4 linked regions of the Schizosaccharomyces pombe genome follow. The protein of the gene in region 1 purifies or fractionates together with the protein of each later gene. This does not show direct contact. Each region holds a gene or a part of one and is shown in the gene's direction. Other genes may lie near its edges. The genes, in order: tti2, tra2, rvb1 and tra1.

Region 1 (4,248 bases):
TTAATTCTGTTTGAAAACTGTATATAGTAAACCACGCAGGTAGCTTCAGGAATATACGACAGAATGGGAAAAAAGGAGAAAGTCAATGCTTTGGAATTTTCTGTTAATAAAGGAATTTTTACAAAAACTCGTTTAAAAAGCCTGTATTCTGACTTTACGAGTCTGTTTATAAAAAATCCTGAAGGATTTTTGGCAAACGTAAATACTTGGAGAGAAGCAATTGAAACATCCGCATGGTCTGGGAAGTTGAATTCTAGGATAATCTTAGTTTTCGATGAGACTTTTGAAAGTGCGTTTTCAAGTCCTGCTTTAGGTAGACCTTTGAGCCTTGGTGCTGTTGCGGTACGTGAATTAAGCATTTTTTTTGAAGCTAATAAGCATATAGGCTTACTGGATCCAGCAAGGGGTTTGGCTTCGTAAGCAAGACTTTTTGAACGATTGTAAAAAAGGAAATTTAGTAAGAGAAGACGGTTTTTCTATTTTTTCAATTCTACGGTGGAGTTTTCAGAAACTTGGGTTTCAAAATCAAGCCTCATCCATATTGTCAAATAGATCCCCGAGTGGGCAGTATGTAATTCGAAAAAATATTGAGAAACTTGCTTGCCTTGTACACAATGAAGCAATGCGACGGTGCAGCAGCTATACGAGTGCAATTTATACTTGGGACTTTTTTCAAGATACTTTTGGAAGCTTATACTGGGAAGAAGGAAAATTAAACAAGGATGAGATGGAATGCCTTCTTAATTGGATGTGCTATCAAAAACATGTTTTAATATTTGATTCTAAGGTAAGTTCAGATTATATGTTTTCTCAGCTATTTGTCGATACCGTTTTTTTAACGAGAATAGATAATCAAGTTTTTACCCAACAGCCAAATTGATGCTCAATTAGCTTCAATTGATAAGTCTATTGATGGGTCTGTTGCAGATCTGATACAGGCTAGGGCATCCATCGCCCAAAGATCAGAATTTTTAAACGAGGAATTGGAGCAACTTTCACAAGTGCTAAACCAAGCAGTTAAAAAGGGAGAGAAAACAATAGCAATAACTTATTTACGTCGAAAAAAGATTTTGTCTAAAGATTTGGAAAGGAAAGTTTCTTCGCGTCTGCAATTAGATACTATAATTTCTAATATTGATAATGCGGTTGACAACAAAATTTTGCTTATTGCAATGTCTTCTGGCTCTGAAGCTCTAGACGCAATTTTAGCTCAAATGGGTGGAACTGAAAAAGTGGAAGATGTCTTAGAAAACGTAAATGATACACTGGCTCGTTCGGAAGAGATTGATGCAACTATTCAAACTTACAATCCTCAAAACATTGATTTAGAGGATGAAGCCGTTGAAAAAGAATGGCAGGATTTGGTAGCTGAAGAACAGAAGGTTGAAGATATCGTGTCTACATTAGGCAATGTTTCTCTAAAAACACCATCTGATACTTTTACCCTTACTAATACTGACTCGGATAAAAAGACTTCGAAACCGGAGAAGATTCAAGCTGAGCTGGTTGAGCAATAATTTATATACGTCCTTTTTTAACGATCACTTAAATTCACGGGAAATGGTTTGGTTTACTAATAATTTATGCACATACTAAAGAATAAATGAATACTATAAAAACATTTTTCTTGGTAATAACTATAAAAAACAATAATGCTTATATACTCAATAGAACTTATATAGCTAAAGCGATAAGGTAAAGTACCTGTGTAATGAATTGATGTTAGTTACTAAAAATTTTGCTTTTTATACCTTTAAAAACTAGTAAATTGTTAATTTATTAAATTGATTTCTTGGCAACGACTTAGAAACTTACAGTATATCACATACTCTATAAGTTTATATTATTAGTGTATGACCATAGCTTAACATGAAATACTTTTTTCATAGAATTTAAGTTCTCTAATAACTAAGTGACATTACAATTCTGTTAATATTCTTTGTTTACAAATCAAACAAATAATAAAACATTAGACTTAATAATTATCTAATAGAAGTTTAAATTGGCAATATCTATGCAATATTACAAAGAGCTAGCTAGGCGATTGCATACTCTACAATCAAAAAATGAAAAAGAAGCTCTTGAAAAAGTACCGTTTTTAATTCACTATTTTCAAATTTTAACCAAATATAGCAAATAGACTTTTTGGACAAATTGGTGGTAGAGGTGGACTCGTTGGTTCATGAACAAGATTTGAGGCCATTATTAGAGTTCATTAGCCCTACTGAAAGTTGGTTTTTACTGGGTACGGCGACAATTTTTTATATTAAATTATTAACTCATCCAGACCCTGAATCGATTGATGTAGTGATTAAAGAAGCGTATGTTGTGCGCGCTCACCGGATATTAAGCATTTTTCAAGAACAGTTTATAGAAAATGTTGTTAAAGAGATCAATTGGGAAATCCTAGCTATTTTAATATCATTAAGTGGAATCGAGAATGGACTTGTACGCAATTTGTCAGAATTCCTCTCAACTTCAATCCTCAGCGCTGTTCCTAGACAAAAATTCTTATTATATCTTCTAGAAAAGTATCAAATAAATCTTTTTCATAGAGAAGAACGGTTGACAGATCAAGGTAGACCGGTTGCATTTGAATTACCACCAGACAAATTTCACAGTGATCAAAGTAAAGCACTTCTTGAGCCAAAGTGGAAAACAAAAAATTATCTCATTTCTCACCTTATTTTTTGGATAATTGATCAGCAAAGTTCTTCTAGCATTGAAGTATGTTGGCACAGAATCATTCCATCTGTACTCCGAATATTGAATGATTTATCTCCAAACATTAAACTACAAGGAATTGAGCTAGTCAACAGATTGTTAAAAATTACGGAAAGAGAATTTCTTTTATATACTGGAATTCTAAAAATTTTGAAGGACGATTTGCTCGTATTCTATACTTTCATACCGCCAAGATTTACAATTCAAACGAGTGTTACCCTTATAAATGCCTCCTTCGCAACCCTAGTTTCTCTTTATCCTGAAGAAAATGAAAATTTAAATTCTATTATGCTGAACGGTATTAATTCTGTGTTTCAGTTTGCATTCGATTATCCCCTGATTCTTCAAGCCGCATTTTCTCAAATTATGGTTTTAACTGACAAAATGAATGTTAGTTATTTACCATACCTAACGGTAATAATTTAAATTCGTTACATTTGAAAGTTTACTAATCGCACTTAGTTGACTCTGGATGAACTGTGTCGTATAATACAAAACCCACAAATCATACAGATACCATCGACACTCTCCTTTTTTTTAGAAATATTAACAAAACTATTGGAAATTTACAGTTATCGAATATCTGCACACCATGTTGAGTTATTAATGGCACTAGTGGTTTGCAGTAGAAATTATATGCGATGTAACTTACAAGAGCATCACAATGCAATTGTACAAGCGCTTCAAAACCTCTTCACTTTGATAAAATTGAACATAACTGTTGAGCAACTCGGTGATTACAATGTAATATTGCCACTGCTTGAACCCCTGCAAATCCCACTTTGAGGTACATATAAGGAAAGACTCTCCTCATTACTAACCAACCTTCAACCTAGATAAATTGGTAACAATGGTTATTCGAAAAACGATGGAAAATGGAGAATAAAGGAAATATGGAGCTGTCAAATTCTTATGGTTTTTATAAAAATGGTCGTAGGGTTTCATTCGTAAAAGCCACTAGTGAACAATCGTTGGACGAAGCCACTTTTATTGAAAAAGGATCGGCACAAGCATTTTATCATTCGTTATTTGAAAATGATAGGGATAATTCGCATACTATGAACAGCAAGAGGGACGAAGCTGGTTTTGCTTGTGAAGTGTGTCAAATATACATTCCAAATAGCAAAAAAATTAATCATTTTAAATCAATGACTCACCTTCTTTCTTCACAACATATTTCAAACAAATTTCAACCCCATTTATTAAAACCAAAAAGCCTTGGTTATCGAGTTCTTTCTCAGTATGGTTGGTCTCCCCAAGGAGATACTGCTGGATTGGGTTTGGAAAATCAGGGTCGTCGTGCCCCGGTTAGAGCATTTCGTGTAAAAAATGATACGATTGGACTCGGTACCAAGATTGATTTGGAGAAAGTTGCAGTAAATAAATGTCGCAAAGGCAAGCGTCAGTGCCAAATCCAACACTCAAAGGATGTACGCCTTAAAGAAGCTTTAATTAAACATTTTTCGTCTAATTGAGTTTATCCTTCTTGCATATGTCCAAACGTCATTAACAATTTTAAGTGTG
Region 2 (5,078 bases), on another chromosome or scaffold:
TCTCGTTGTTCGTATCATAATCCAAATTATAAACCGGAGCATAATTGGAAAGAAAGTATTCCCTAAAAATATCAGAATAGTTCCAAGAACCTGAGGAAATATGGCTTTTTGAAAGGAATTTAAAGAATCGCTGTTCAACGAATAGCCTAGATTATCAAACAGCGAACTAGAAGTAAACGCTGCCCACCAGCCTCTATTTATACCGCCGTCCGTAACTACACGACCGGATGTTTTAGCAGTATAAATGAATATTAGGAACGCAACCAAACCAAGAATATGCCAAAACAGAAAATAAACCACTAATATGACAGTCAATATCCTGAGAGATTCATATTCAATTCCCGCCAATTCTTCTCTCTCCACTGGAGTTAAGGCATAAAATGCAGAATTTCTGCCCACTGTTGCATTGTACGATAAATAAGGTAAACTCATTGTGCTAGCTTTCGTGTGAGTACGGTTGAATGTGAGTCTTCGAGGAAGAGCAGATGTAAATGATTTGGCTAATTGAAATGGTAGGACAGACATTGAGCGCTCATTCCTGTGAAGTGTAGGTGTAACAGCAAATGATTTACCACGTTTTCTACCTCGTCCATCAAGTCGATGAGCACCTTTTTCCTGCTCAGCTCCATTCGTGTCATCTAAAGGTCAATATTAAAATCACGGAATGACTTACCAGCAAAATATATAGGCCTGCGATTATGCCTGGGAACAGGGGTTGGTGCAATGGTAATTGCAGAGCCGCGTACTACATTTTGATGTGCATCGTTAGTAGTTGCAGCAGCCTGATGATCAAAATTCGAATTTTGAGGTGAATAAGATGCTACATGTGGATCATTGTCAACTCTTGTTGTGCTGTAGTTTGAGTTTGAGGATGAAACAGTTTCCTGATTACCATCATTTGCAGTTTCTAGGGAAGGATTGTGCGAAGAGATAGAACTGTTGTTATCCAGATGATGGTTCAGTTGTGTTTGATTCTCGTGGTCATGTACTTGAGGCTCAAAATCCTCAGGAATTGTTTGAAAAGATGATTCTTCAAACGAACTAGGAATGTAAAAGTCGACAGGATTATTTCTAGCATTGTTTTGTACAACGGATAAAGATCCATTGTCGATTGATGCCATTCTTCGTTTCCCAAGAGCTGGACTTAATGCTTCAGTTCTGTCTTCATTTTCTTGAGAATTTCTAACACCTGCATAACTAGGGAGAGCGGGCATGGTATTCCCGCGAAAGAAGCTTGGGCGATCGATTGCATTAGCAAATTTCCTTAGACGAAAATGGTGCCTGTGATGTTTTTCATTCTCTTGGTGTTCAGCTTCCTCAGCCTTAGTCTCTGGGGCAACTGGCCGGTGCATTTGATTACCCTGGTCTAACAAAACCCGAATTTTTCGATTGCCAACTTTGGAAGGCTCTGGAGTATCCCTTCTTCTTACAGTGTGATAAGTATATGTCATCCTAAGTTTATTATTTGTTATGACCATGTCATATCGCTTGTTATAGAAGTACAGCTTAAACAAAGTCAAGCCCAGGTTCACAGTAATTGGTGTACTCAAAACTCCAAAAAGGAGAATAGTTAACTAAAAAATAGTTAAAAAATTTATTTAAAAATATGCATACCTGTTGGTAAATGGATATCTGCGTGAGGTCCACAGGCTGCAAGCCAGTCTGAGTACAAGAACCAGAAGCCAACAACAAAGCATCTATGTAGCGCAAATTTCCCGACCCATACAATATTACTGAACATAAAATAGTCATTCCTATTATAAAAGAATCTTGAACAAAGTTAGGCTTGAAAAGAAGTTTTTCACATACAATGGTATTCAAGGAACCGGAACCGTTTGTAGAAAAACCCGATAACTGCATGATAAAATCTGTATAATATTTTCCTTCTTAAAAACCTTCTATATCGTACAAACATGTCATAGTTTATAAAGCAGTATTATATTGTATTTGATAAAAATTACACTCACGTCGATTTCAAATAGCTTCAGTGGCTTCTTGAATAGTGCAGTTTTGCGTCCTCACTATACGATTCACCTTGAACATAGCAACAACTAAACAACATCTGACAGTAATCGTTCTGTGCTTTTTTACAGCTGTGTCCAAAATCTCGTAGTGTATCAAGTTTGGTTTCAAAGATTTATTAAAAAGTATCTGCATGGACCGAACTTTGTTATGGAAGACGGTTTTGAAAAGTCGCTCAGCAGCTCTATAGAGCTACTGAAAGCTGAAAGTACAGGTATATAAATTTTTGTAGATATTTTGATTCATTTTTTTATTTTATACTAACTTTTTTTAAGAAATAGAAGAAAAAATCAAACTAACTAAAATTTTAATTACTAAGGTTTCTAGCATATCTTCAGACGCCTCGCAGCTGTATGCAGAATTAATTCCACTACTCTTGGATTTTTTACGAAATACAGAGGTGAATCTTTATAGAAATTCTTCTGTCAATGAACTCAAGATCGAAGCATTGACTTTAATACAAAGTTGCGCTCACCGTGATGAATTTAAACAATATGCGCAGTCTTGTGTGCTTTCGTTCATTAGCTTGATTAAAGCAGATAATGAAGAAGTCGCTGTTTTTTGCTTAAAAGTTATTATGGATATATTCAAAACTTTTAAGTTTTGTATAGAAAGCACTGCACAACCCTTTTTTGACTTGGTACTTGAGCTTTCTACAAACCTTCCTTATTTAATTCCCTCAATATTTGTCGAGAATCCAAAATCAAATGAAGAGGAAAATACAACCCTGGCTTTTGGTAGTTATCTGTCTACGGAAACTTCAATCATCCAACAGCGTGTCAATTCTTTAGCTATTTCTACTCAACCTTTGGAACTGGCTTCTCAAAGTTTCCGCGTGTATGTAGAGTGTCCGGTCATTATAGTTTTGATTCTTCAAGCATATCGTCAAGCTGCTTTCCCTGGTGTTCAAGCCATAATTCCCTGTTTTCTTAAGATGGTACAAATTGATGTTCCAATAGACATCGCTTCATATGCAATGATTGAAAAAGATTCAAGCATTGACTTTATTGAGTTTATAAGGAATAAATATCAGTACCGTAATTTTTTTATGGCTCAAGTAAAGACTTTATCTTTCTTGGCTTATATTTTACGAACTCATCCCAATACACTTTCTGAGAAGGATATAATACCGGACATTGTAATAAAGCTTTTGAGGCGATGCCCTTTTGATATGTGTTTTGCCCGTAAAGAACTGCTGGTTGCTACGAGACATATTCTGTCAACAAACTTAAAATCTCTTTTTGTCAAAAAGCTGGATTTTTTGTTAGATTTAAATATATTATTAGGAAATGGAGTTGGTACTCAAAAGCTGTTACGTCCCTTGGCATTTAGTACATTAGCTGACTTACTTCATCATGTACGTGACGAACTTAACGAAACGCAAATAAGAAAATCTATAATGATTTATTCGACCAATATGCATGATTTGACTCTTAGCATTGGGTTACAGACTATGGGTGCCCGGCTCATTTTAAACATGGTTGACAGAATGATTAGTCTTCCTAGCATCCCCGATGCTATATTTCTTCTTTTATCTATTTTTGATAGCTTTGTAAATAAGTTTTCGGAACTTAATGATAGTTTGGATCAGTTTTTTAAGAAAAAGTATGAAGAAGAAATTAAAGAGACAAAGTCACCGACGCGTTCTTCTCCTAGGGATTTATCTTCATTTAGCACTTCCGTCAATGATGGATCATTTCTTTTTAAAAACTTGATGTTTGGCTTACGGGCTCTTATGTATGGGCTTCGTACATGCAAGTCTCGATGCATAGAAATTGGAGGTGAACAATTTTCGGGATTCCTTACGAATATCAAGCCTTTCGAAGCTGTTACGTTTCAGAAGCTTTTTTTTGAGGTTGGCAAAGGATTCTCATATTTTCGACCTGAGCAAGTCTATTTAGAAACTTTTTTCTGCTGCGAAGAAGAAAGTTTAGATCGCCCTGCTATATCTACGCTTCCTCGTAACAAAGACGAGAAAGATTGTCTTGAAGTATTTGCTACCATTTTTATACATCTCGAGCCATCTATATTTCTTAAAGTTTTTGAAACAAACCTTCCTACTTTTTTTGATCAACTTAAAAAAAATCTCACATTATTTCACATTCCACAGTTTTTGCTTTCAAATGAGAGCACATCATCAAAATTTTTAAATATTTTACTTCGATTTCTGCTTTCCAGAATTGAGGAACTCGGATCTTCTGACATCAGGCATGGTTCTGTCTTGTTGCGTTTGTTTCGTCTTTCTTTCGTTACAGTCTCAATGTTTGCAACAGAGAATGAGCCAGTTCTTCGGCCTTATGTATCTGAAATTATTGTGAAATGTATGAAGTTGGCTCCCAATTCTGCTAATTCATTGAACTACTATTATCTATTAAGAGCGTTGTTCCGAGGAATTGGTGGGGGAAGATTTGAAAGCCTTTATAAAGAAGTAATGCCTTTGTTGCACGCTCTATTAGAGGCATTTAATTCATTGCTTATATCTGCCCGTACTCCGAAGGAGAAAGACCTTTTTACCGAACTTTGTCTTACTATTCCTGTAAGGCTTAGTCTTTTATTACCATACATGAGTTATCTAATGAGACCTCTCGTCATGTCTTTAAAAAGCAGTCAAGAATTAGTTAGTCAGGGATTACGAACCTTTGAATTATGCTTGGATAATCTCACTCCTGATTTTTTGGATCCGATAATGGCTCCTTACATAGAAGATCTAATGAATGCTTTATGGAGTCATCTACAACCTCTTCCTTATAATTATAATCACAGCCATACTGCCTTGAAAATACTTGGTAAACTTGGTGGAAGAAATAGGAAGCTTCTTGATAGAGTCCAGAGTTTAAAGAATTCGCCGGAACCGAATAACGATTTTACTTTACTTCTTTCGATAAAAGGGGTTAAACAACCACAACTTTTACATTACACCCAATATGTTGATGAGGCTGTGAATTTGCTTTCTAGCCCTTCTAGTGATCTGGAGGTTAAGCAACAAGCGTTCACTTATGTTTGCAATATTTCAAAGCTCTATGTTTATAAGAGTGACGCTACTAACAGCTTAGCCT
Region 3 (4,163 bases), on another chromosome or scaffold:
ATACGCAGGACCTACATAGCCTTTCGACGAGAGTCATTGGCCAATGTGTAGAAGAACAAAGCACACGAATAAGAACCAAACTATTATTAAGCTTTTGGACTTCTGCAGGAGTTTTGGGCTTTTTGGCAGTAGCGAGCGACTCCAAAAGACGAAGTGGCTCGAATGCAGTATATTTTATAGCAGGATGCTCCGTTACAGGACCTGCCGGAGGATTTTTTAATATGTTGGCCAGAATTTGCAAAGAACGTACTCTCGTCTTCTCAGTATTGGACAATGCAAAGAATAATAAAATATAGATAGAAGTTTTGCAAGAATTGCCATGAGTCCAAGAGCTATAATCCTGAAGAAGTAAAAGCTTCTCCAAAACATTAAGATAGGGGAGAAGGACGGTTTTATTGGTTTCTGCATTATTTACAACTGGAGCAAGGACAGACAAGATCTGGGGAAATTTTGCTTGCAGAACATTAGAGGGCACATACTTAATAACCAATTCCAGTAGTTGAAACGTGTGTCCCTTAAAATTTTTCTTTAAGTCCGTGAATTCCTTAACTAAAGTTAGAAGGGCCACCAAATAAGCAGTTGGTGTCGCCTCAGTTTTTTGCTCCTTCAACGTCCCCTCCACTGCACTAACGATTACATCGAATTCGTTTATGACACCTGCAGTGGAGCTGTTTCGAATCTTTCGAAGTTCAATTTGCAATGGTTCATTCACTTCAGCCATGAATTTTTAACCTGCCCAAACTTTCCCTGTAGGATGGTGTGAAAGACAACTCCACATCAGTGCGAAATTCACAGATATGTTCGCAGTGCATTGCACATCGTTATTTGTTTGGCGAAAAAAGATTGTGAAATTAGGAAATTTCCTTACCAATCTTTTGATGGATCACGATGTGTGGCAGGTTAAGTTTAAATTTATTGATAAACATTAATTCGCTGTTGCTAGACGGAATTGCGGGTATTTTCCTGGTACATGAGAAAATTGAGATGTAAACAAATGATTCCCAAGTTATTACCGTTTATATTCATTTATTTATCTGTCGCTAATAAAATTATGTTTTATTGTATCTTAAATGAGCGAGCGTTTAAGCACTACAAAACCTATCGAAGGATTACAGATTGCCCGGAGATTAAAAATAAAAAAAGCAGAAGAAAAAATCAGCGAAACAGTAGTAGCATCGGATTAAGCAATCCAAACAAGTTTTCAATATATATATATATATATTTTTTTTTTTATTCGTTTTTATGCTCACCGTATTTATTTAAATATATATCGCTATTCTAGGATGGTAGTTAATCAACATATGGGATGTATGTAAATAAGAAAATTATAATTCATTAATAAATCAAGAATAACTTTTTGAAAACATTTAGATGTATTTGCGTTTATTACTTAAGTACTCGTTATAACAGTTTTAGTTACTATTTTTTTTGCATCATATACAGTAAAATAGAATTCCTCAAAAATCGATTGTTAATTTCTGTTTAATTTTTTTTTTTAAAGAAAGAATACACCTCTTTGCTTTATTATTTCATTTCCTGTCTTTTTCATTACCTCAGCTCTACTTTCTTCTTATTTAACTTGGTACTATTTTGCTACACCCAACCCTAATGTCACATTTTGAAAGCAAGCTATCCTCAACCAACTACTTATAAAATGGTCCAAATCAGCGAGGTTAAGGGAAATGGCCGTGATAATAGGATTACTACACATTCACATATCAAAGGTTTAGGCCTAAAAGAAGATGGAACTTGTGAATCTGTTGGTGGAGGTTTCATTGGACAAGAAAAGGCTCGTGAGGTAAGCATTCCTGATAATTCTTTAATATAATGTATTCTAATATATTTTCTTAGGCTTGTGGCATCATCACTGATTTAATCAAGTCTAAAAAATTTGGTGGTAAAGGTGTATTGTTCGCTGGAGGTGCTGGTACTGGTAAAACAGCACTGGCCTTGGCGATTGCCCAAGAACTTGGTCCTAAAGTTCCTTTTTGTCCTATGGTGGGAAGTGAAGTCTACTCTAGTGAAATAAAGAAAACTGAGGCTTTAATGGAAAACTTTCGAAGGGCCATTGGTCTTCGGGTAAAGGAAACAAAAGAAGTGTATGAGGGTGAGGTTACAGAAATGGTTCCCGAAGAAGCCGAAAATCCTTTGGGCGGTTATGGAAAAACCATTTCACACGTCCTTTTGGGCCTCAAAACGCATAAGGGTACCAAACAGCTCAAATTAGATCCTAGCATTTACGAATCTTTACAAAGAGAACAAGTGTCAACCGGGGACGTTATTTACATAGAAGCCAATACAGGTGCCGTAAAGAGAGTGGGTCGTAGCGATGCGTATGCTACGGAGTTCGATTTAGAAGCGGAAGAATATGTTCCTATGCCTAAAGGTGAGGTACACAAGCGGAAAGAAATTGTTCAGGACGTGACTCTTCATGATTTGGATATTGCCAATGCCCGCCCTCAAGGAGGACAAGATATAATGTCTATGATGGGTCAGTTAATGAAGCCCAAGAAAACTGAAATCACCGATAAGCTTCGTGGTGAAATTAACAAGGTTGTCAACAAATATATCGAACAAGGAATCGCTGAACTTATTCCTGGTGTCTTGTTCATCGACGAGGTTCATATGTTAGACATTGAGTGCTTTACTTATCTCAACCAAGCCCTAGAAAGCACTATTTCTCCTATTGTTATCTTTGCCTCTAATCGAGGCATTTGTACCATTCGGGGTACTGAGGATATTCAAGCTCCCCATGGTATTCCTACGGATTTGCTTGACAGATTACTAATAGTTCGCACACTCCCCTATTCAGAGTCAGAAATTCGTTCCATTTTGCAGATACGTGCAAAAGTTGAAAACATCATCCTTACTGATGAGTGTTTGGACAAGCTGGCTCAAGAAGGTTCTCGTACTAGTCTCCGTTATGTTATACAACTGTTGACACCCGTTAGCATTATTGCCAGTTTGCATGGTAACAAAGAGATTGGTGTACAAGATATCGAAGAATGTAACGATCTTTTCTTAGATGCTCGCCGCTCCGCTCAAGTTGTTAAATCATCTTCAGGCTTCCTTCAATAAAAATATTATCCTTAATAACGATCTACCCTTACTTATTTCAACTTTTTGGTTATATGCGAAACTAGCTAGATTTACACAGGTTGTGAATATATATACCTTTTTATTTATAAACTTGTAAATTTTTTTTAAGCTTAACCAATTTCTTCTTTTTTTTATCCAGTTATATTCCTTCCATTCCGGCATTTATTTATACTGTAATCATTTATGAATACCTAAATAAAAGTCAGGATCAATGAATTTATTTAGAATTCAATACCTCCTAGGGTTTTTTTACATGCATGGAAAGACTGTATGAAGTACTTTGCAAAAGCTGCAATCATTCTGTAAATAAACTTAAAATATTATAAGAAGGTGAGTTCTTTTTTTTTTTTTTTTTTTTTTTTAAATTTGAGTTGAATGCTATTTATAAATCTTCTGTTCATTTTTGATTCCTACTTCCACGAAAGGACAAGCTGCCACTTGAGATAAGCAAGTGCTAAAGAACGAATAACAGGCAAAAAACTTCAACAGTAACTTCATAAAGCATGATAGACAAAAAGAGTAATACAACATTTGTAATACGCGGAAAAAAAATTCCCCATCTGCGATAACTGTTTCGTCGTCATTTTAGAAATTGATTATTTACATTGCAACACCATCGATTGAGCAATTTTATCAACACACACAGTACTCTTAGCGCACAGTAAGCAACCCCGTTTGTTATGATATATTAATATGCCTCGTTAGTTCGTCAATATACCACTTTACATAAGTGTGGCCAAAGTAAAGCAATAATGACGAGACCAGGAGGAAGGGCAACCCAATATAAGTTGAAGAGAAGACTTTGAATGCTTAACTATTAAGTGTACAAATGGCAGTTTTATCAAGAATTATGAAACCTTACAGGGCCTTTCAAAGGCTTCCTTTTGAGCTCAAACCTCTGGGTTAGTTACTGAGAAAACCGAATTTGTCAAATCACTAACGAATTTTAGCAATCCTCATTGGAATTGCTGGGTCCACTGCAATATTTACCATGGGATATAAGATTTATTCTGATCCTGAAGTATGTACAATTATTTCCAAACTTCTATTACTATTTAAACAAC
Region 4 (4,997 bases), 2.0 Mb from region 1:
TTCGAAATCAGCAAAAAGTAATGGACCTTTTTCTGGATTTTGAGATTGCTAAAGGTAGTGAAGAAAACACTGGTGATGAAGAAAAATTGGAAGATGGAATATGATCGTTTTATTTGATAATTTCTGATTTTTATTTTGTAAAAAAATTTACCTCTTTCTTTTGTAGGTTGTGGGAAGCTAATATTTTTATGCACCTGATGCATTTTTTTTTTCTTTTGGAGCATAATTTGGGGTTATTCTTATATTTTGTTAAGTTTTTTACTGTGTAATTTCTAGATGTTTTCTCAATATAATTCGTTTTCAGCGATGTACGTTGCCATGTATCTGTGTAGAAAGTTCAAGTGATGTTTATTAAAAGATGGATTATCTCAATAGACAAAATGTTTATCTTCCATCATTTACAGATAGAAATTGAATTGGAAAAGTGCTTTCATTTTTGTTTAAACCTTGTAATTAAACCTATGTAGCGTTATACGTTGGAATAGAAAGAGAAAAGCCTACCGGTTGCGTTCAAAAATGGAACAAAACTTTATTTCTAGATTTTATCAGGTTCGTTATTCATGGCAATCTAATCAAATATACAATTCATGGTTATAATCCCAAGGTTTTACGAGCCAATCGTCGAACTACACGACAATATTCTTCTCGATCTTCTCTCCACATCTTGCACGCATCGATGTTAGCACCACTTTCATCGTTTGGTTCCGCCAACATCGACATTACCGATAACAGTATTTTTTCAACAGATTGAACAGGAGACCAACGTTCTGAAGACGACTCATACATATTTGGATCGTCACCAGGTGCATGTAGGATGGAAATGCAAACCGTCCCATCTTTGTAAACTGAAATGAAGGTTAGTCTCGAAATTTGGATTAATAGTATCTGGCATACCATTTGGATGGAAAAATTCACACTCAAACTTTAAAGTAGGGGGGCCAAGAGGATAATCCTACATAAAAAAGTTAGAATCCAATAAAAATAAAACTAAGCACGTATCAACGTGCGCTTGAACACCCCGGATGTACTGCCATGCGATTCAAAGAAAGAAACCAAACCCCCAAAAAAAAACTTAGATAGATCTTTTAAATAAAATTTCTTCCTACTCATCAATAAATCGAAGGATTCATCAATTACTAATGAATAAAAGCACTTCTCTTAAATGATCATTCTAAACGAATGGATTATTGAGTTACTTTCTTTATTTACGCTGAACAAATGTTAATTTATGAAAAAGAGCGCGTATTTTTTAATAAGTAGTTGATACATAAAACATGCGAAACATCATACTTATCCACAACTTAAATCACATGTTCAGTCTCCATCAGGTTTATAGTAAAGGACTTACGGAAGGAAATTTCAAGGTAGCAGGGTATAACCCACCTTCAAATGGAGTTCCATCAGGGCCTTGAATTAGGCAATCCCAAGTAAAGAAATCATCCTCATTCGATGGACCTGCAGTAATACCATCAGGCCCATTCTCCGTTAACTCCTTATACTCCTTCATTAACCGTCGCAACGCCATAGCTTTACTCATTTTGGAAATCAATTAACTTACTAATCGGTAAGATATATTAAAGATCACTGACTAAAAGGTAGCCTAAAAATGGTAATGAACAGATTAATGAATGAATGGTTTGTTTACGACAAATTATGCAGCTGAGGCTAAACGAACTTTTGTGGTATCACTCGCTATTTTTATCTCGTTCATCATTTTAGCAACTTCTACCGCACAAAATAATAAGGCCGTTAATTAAAATAGCGAAAACATGTAAAATTCATAAAGTGATTTAGAGGAAAGAAATGCAGCTTGCTCTATCCCACAACATTCCAATAGTAATTGTTAAATACTTAGGAAAACGTATCCGAGTGCAATTGGAATTTAAAAAAGAGCTTGCGCAGAGATCCAAGCATCTGATGGATGTATCACAATGCGAACATTGGCATAATCGGCTTTGTGATGTTGGATTAGACTCGAAGCAAAAGGCAAACACAGCAATTGAAATTCGAGATGCACTGGATGATGTGTTGGTAACTGAAAAGACGAATTTTGAAACTTTCATTCCTCTTTTGGAGGACACGTTGTCTTTGCTTGAAAAGGAACGTCCTGTATTTTCATCGTTAGCAGCTACACATCGTTTACGCATTGCATTGCTTGAATTGCTCAAGAAATCTGGATCCTATAAAGGTTTTGAAGCATTCGTTAATCGGACTTTTGCCGTGCTTCTTCGTATAGTCGTTAATGATAATGAAGAGATGGCAGTGTTGGCATTGAAGCTTGTTGTCCTTCTTTTTAAGGACCACAGTAGCCTTGCTAAGGGACATGTTCAGGAATTTTTATCCATTGTCGTTGAAAACTACAAATCCATGACCACAGTTGTTTCAGAAGCTTTCCCACCTAGATCAGCTCCGAATACTCCATCCTCTCATCCCATGTCTGCTGCATCTTCTGCATCTCCTGCTGAAATTGGAATGGAACATGCAGGTCCAAAAATGATCCCAAAAGCTTCTTCGAGTTTCAAGGTCACTGCTGAATTTCCCATTATCGTCTTTCTCCTATTTCAAACATACAAAGATCTTATTCCGAAAATGCTTCCTTTACTTGCTCCGCTTGTACTTCAATTTATCTCACTTCGTCCTCCACCTCAAGCCGAAGCTCGTCGACTTGCAGAATCTCAAAAAGAGGTTTTTATTGGTGTAGTCCCTTCTTTGCGTCGAAATCATCTTTACAATGACCTTATTTCTGCGCAAATTAAATCATTCTCTTTTCTCGCCTATTTATTGAGAAGTTTTGGTGCTGCTCTTAAACAGTTTGAAAGCTCGATCCCAATATGTACCTTGCAATTGTTCATGGACTGTCCTTCCGAATTATATCAGACTCGAAGAGAACTTTTGGTAGCTACAAGGCACGTCTTATCGACGGATTATTTGAGAGGGTTTCTACCGTATGTAGATCAACTACTTGATACCAAAATTCTAGTTGGTTCTGGAATCACTTCTCAGCATTCATTACGACCCATGGCTTTTAGCATGCTGGCAGATATGCTTCATTATGTGCGTATGGAATTAAGTCCACAACAAATTTACAAAGTCATACTTCTTTATTTCAGTATTTTGATGGACGACTTTTATACTTCAGCTATTCAGGCAATGGCTACAAAGCTTATTTTAAACTTGGTTGAAAGAATTGTTGCACTAGAAGATTTTTCCACTAGCCGATCACTTCTATTTGCTATACTTTTATGTCTCTTAAGAAAATTGACTTCTCTGAATTTCGAGTTTATGAAGCTGAGAGATTCTTTACAGGAAAATGCTGACTTAAAGCAAATTAAAATAGAAGAAAATAAACATGATCTTCCTATGTTTGAGAACCCTACTGGAGCTGCCCAACCTTCAGGTTTGGATAAGCTAAAAGATTGCATATTTCTTTTTAAAAACACCTTATTAGGTATTAAGCCTGTTTTGTTTGGACTAAAGCAACGAAATATTCCTCTTGCCAACGGTTCCATTTTTACAGCTCAGGAATGGTCTGAAAAGTTACATCTTAGTTCAACTAATGAAGTTTTACTGTTTCGAAGATTACTTGTGGAAAGTTTAAAGGGATTCAGTTATTACCAGACAGATGAAAAAACCGGTGTATTCAAGTCCTCGAAAAATCTTGCATACTCTCAACTTGATTCTTCGTTGACCACAAACCCTTCTAAACTCTTAGAAGAGAAGGAGCTCTTAGAAATGTTAGCAACTTTATTTTTACACTTGGACCCATCTGTTTTCGTCGAAATTTTGGAATCCGAGTTTCCGAATATATTTGAGTGTCTAGTAGATAATCTTGCTTTATTGCATATTTTCCAATTTTGGATGTCTAATGAAGTTACTTCTGTCAACTGCACGGGCATCGTGCTGTCTTTTTGCTGTGACAATCTAGCTAAAATAGGGTCTGGCCAATCCACTCGGGTTTCTGTTTTATTGCGATTATTCAAGTTGGCCTTTATGACTGTGAATGTTTTTCCCGAAAAAAATGCAGAAGTCCTGCGTCCCCATATATCCTATATCATTTCAACTAGCCTCGAATTGACTACTGATGCTGTTGAACCTTTAAATTACGTTTATTTAATGAAAGCTTTGTTTAGAAATATCAGTGGAGGAAAATTTGATTCTCTTTACAAGGAAATACTACCACTTCTCCAAGTAATGCTAGAATGTTTCAACAGATTGATTTTTACTGTTACGTCTACATCCCAAAAAGAGCTGTATGCGGAACTTTGTTTGACTTTACCCATTAGACTCAGTGTGTTGTTGCCTCATATGAATTTTTTAATGAAGCCATTGATTGTTGCATTAAAAGGCCCCCCTGAAATAGCTAGTCAAGGGCTTCGAATATTTGAACTTTGCTTGGATAATCTTACTCAAGAATTTTTGGATCCTTTATTGGACTCAATTATGCCGGATTTGCTGATATGCCTGTGGAATCATTCACGCCTTAATCAATCCAATAATCAATTGCATCAAAGTGCTGTGAGAATATTAGGAAAAATGGGTGGTCGAAATAGACAAATATATCTTGGTACCTTTGGCTTTGATTTTTTGCAAGATGAAAATATTTTTCCTTCAATCCAGTTTTCTTTCCAAGGCTCCTCTCAGAATTTTAGCTTAGAGCACTCCAAATTTTTAATGTCTTCATGTGCTGTTTTAAACAATCAAAATTCCGATTTAGAAGAAAAGAAGCAAGCATTTCAAATGGTCAAGAATTCGTATTTATTACTCTTTGCGTCTGCGAAGCCCGATGAAGACTTTTGGGAATCTATTGATACAATGTGCCGAGCAGTTGTAGATCGCATGGATAAAAACTTACAGCAAGTCTCTAATGGTAGGTTGTGCCCTGACAAAGATGAATCTTATTATCTGCAAAGATCTATTGTCTCAAACATTTTTAAATCTTTAGTCGGCTCAATGTCTTGTGTGGAATTTGTAGCTGAAGCTCGAGAAACCATCAATCG

The links.
Region 2: the proteins of tti2 (region 1) and tra2 purify together in Schizosaccharomyces pombe (affinity purification with mass spectrometry, with the first as the bait; one study listed by BioGRID). This does not show direct contact.
Region 3: the proteins of tti2 (region 1) and rvb1 purify together in Schizosaccharomyces pombe (affinity purification with mass spectrometry, with the first as the bait; one study listed by BioGRID). This does not show direct contact.
Region 4: the proteins of tti2 (region 1) and tra1 purify together in Schizosaccharomyces pombe (affinity purification with mass spectrometry; 2 studies listed by BioGRID, with this or other methods). This does not show direct contact.

The regions. Positions count from the first base shown.
Region 1 is NC_003423.3:3,898,033-3,902,280, forward strand, and holds tti2 (protein Tti2), read left to right. Parts: upstream 1-1,903; 5' UTR 1,904-2,014; coding exon 2,015-2,089; exon of another isoform or gene 2,090-2,133; coding exon 2,134-3,138; exon of another isoform or gene 3,139-3,186; coding exon 3,187-3,510; downstream 3,511-4,248. Other genes in the region: cmp7 (ESCRT III complex subunit), read left to right, coding at 64-342, 386-787, 849-1,517; SPOM_SPBC1604.16C (G-patch type RNA-binding protein), read left to right, coding at 3,600-4,199. UniProt on the Schizosaccharomyces pombe protein: Component of the tel2-tti1-tti2 (TTT) complex that stabilizes protein levels of the phosphatidylinositol 3-kinase-related protein kinase (PIKK) family proteins.
Region 2 is NC_003424.3:257,547-262,624, forward strand, and holds the start of tra2 (phosphatidylinositol kinase-like protein Tra2), read left to right. Parts: upstream 1-2,064; 5' UTR 2,065-2,172; coding exon 2,173-2,236; intron 2,237-2,297; coding exon 2,298-5,078. Other genes in the region: plasma membrane potassium ion transmembrane transporter Trk2, read right to left, coding at 1-638, 674-1,574, 1,615-1,769, 1,810-1,915.
Region 3 is NC_003424.3:4,922,610-4,926,772, forward strand, and holds rvb1 (chaperone, AAA family ATPase Rvb1), read left to right. Parts: upstream 1-1,637; 5' UTR 1,638-1,654; coding exon 1,655-1,798; exon of another isoform or gene 1,799-1,851; coding exon 1,852-3,078; 3' UTR 3,079-3,456; downstream 3,457-4,163. Other genes in the region: ribosome biogenesis protein Rrp12, read right to left, coding at 1-721; SPOM_SPAPB8E5.08 (uncharacterized protein), read left to right, coding at 971-1,282; protein Min8, read left to right, coding at 3,929-4,001, 4,050-4,120. UniProt on the Schizosaccharomyces pombe protein: DNA helicase which participates in several chromatin remodeling complexes, including the SWR1 and the INO80 complexes.
Region 4 is NC_003423.3:1,902,339-1,907,335, reverse strand, and holds the start of tra1 (SAGA complex, phosphatidylinositol pseudokinase subunit Tra1), read left to right. Parts: upstream 1-1,917; coding exon 1,918-4,997. Other genes in the region: ribosome biogenesis protein Yar1, read left to right, coding at 1-104; ubiquitin-conjugating enzyme Ubc7, read right to left, coding at 592-845, 895-952, 1,349-1,537. UniProt on the Schizosaccharomyces pombe protein: Essential scaffold subunit of the transcription coactivator SAGA complex. SAGA acts as a general cofactor required for essentially all RNA polymerase II transcription.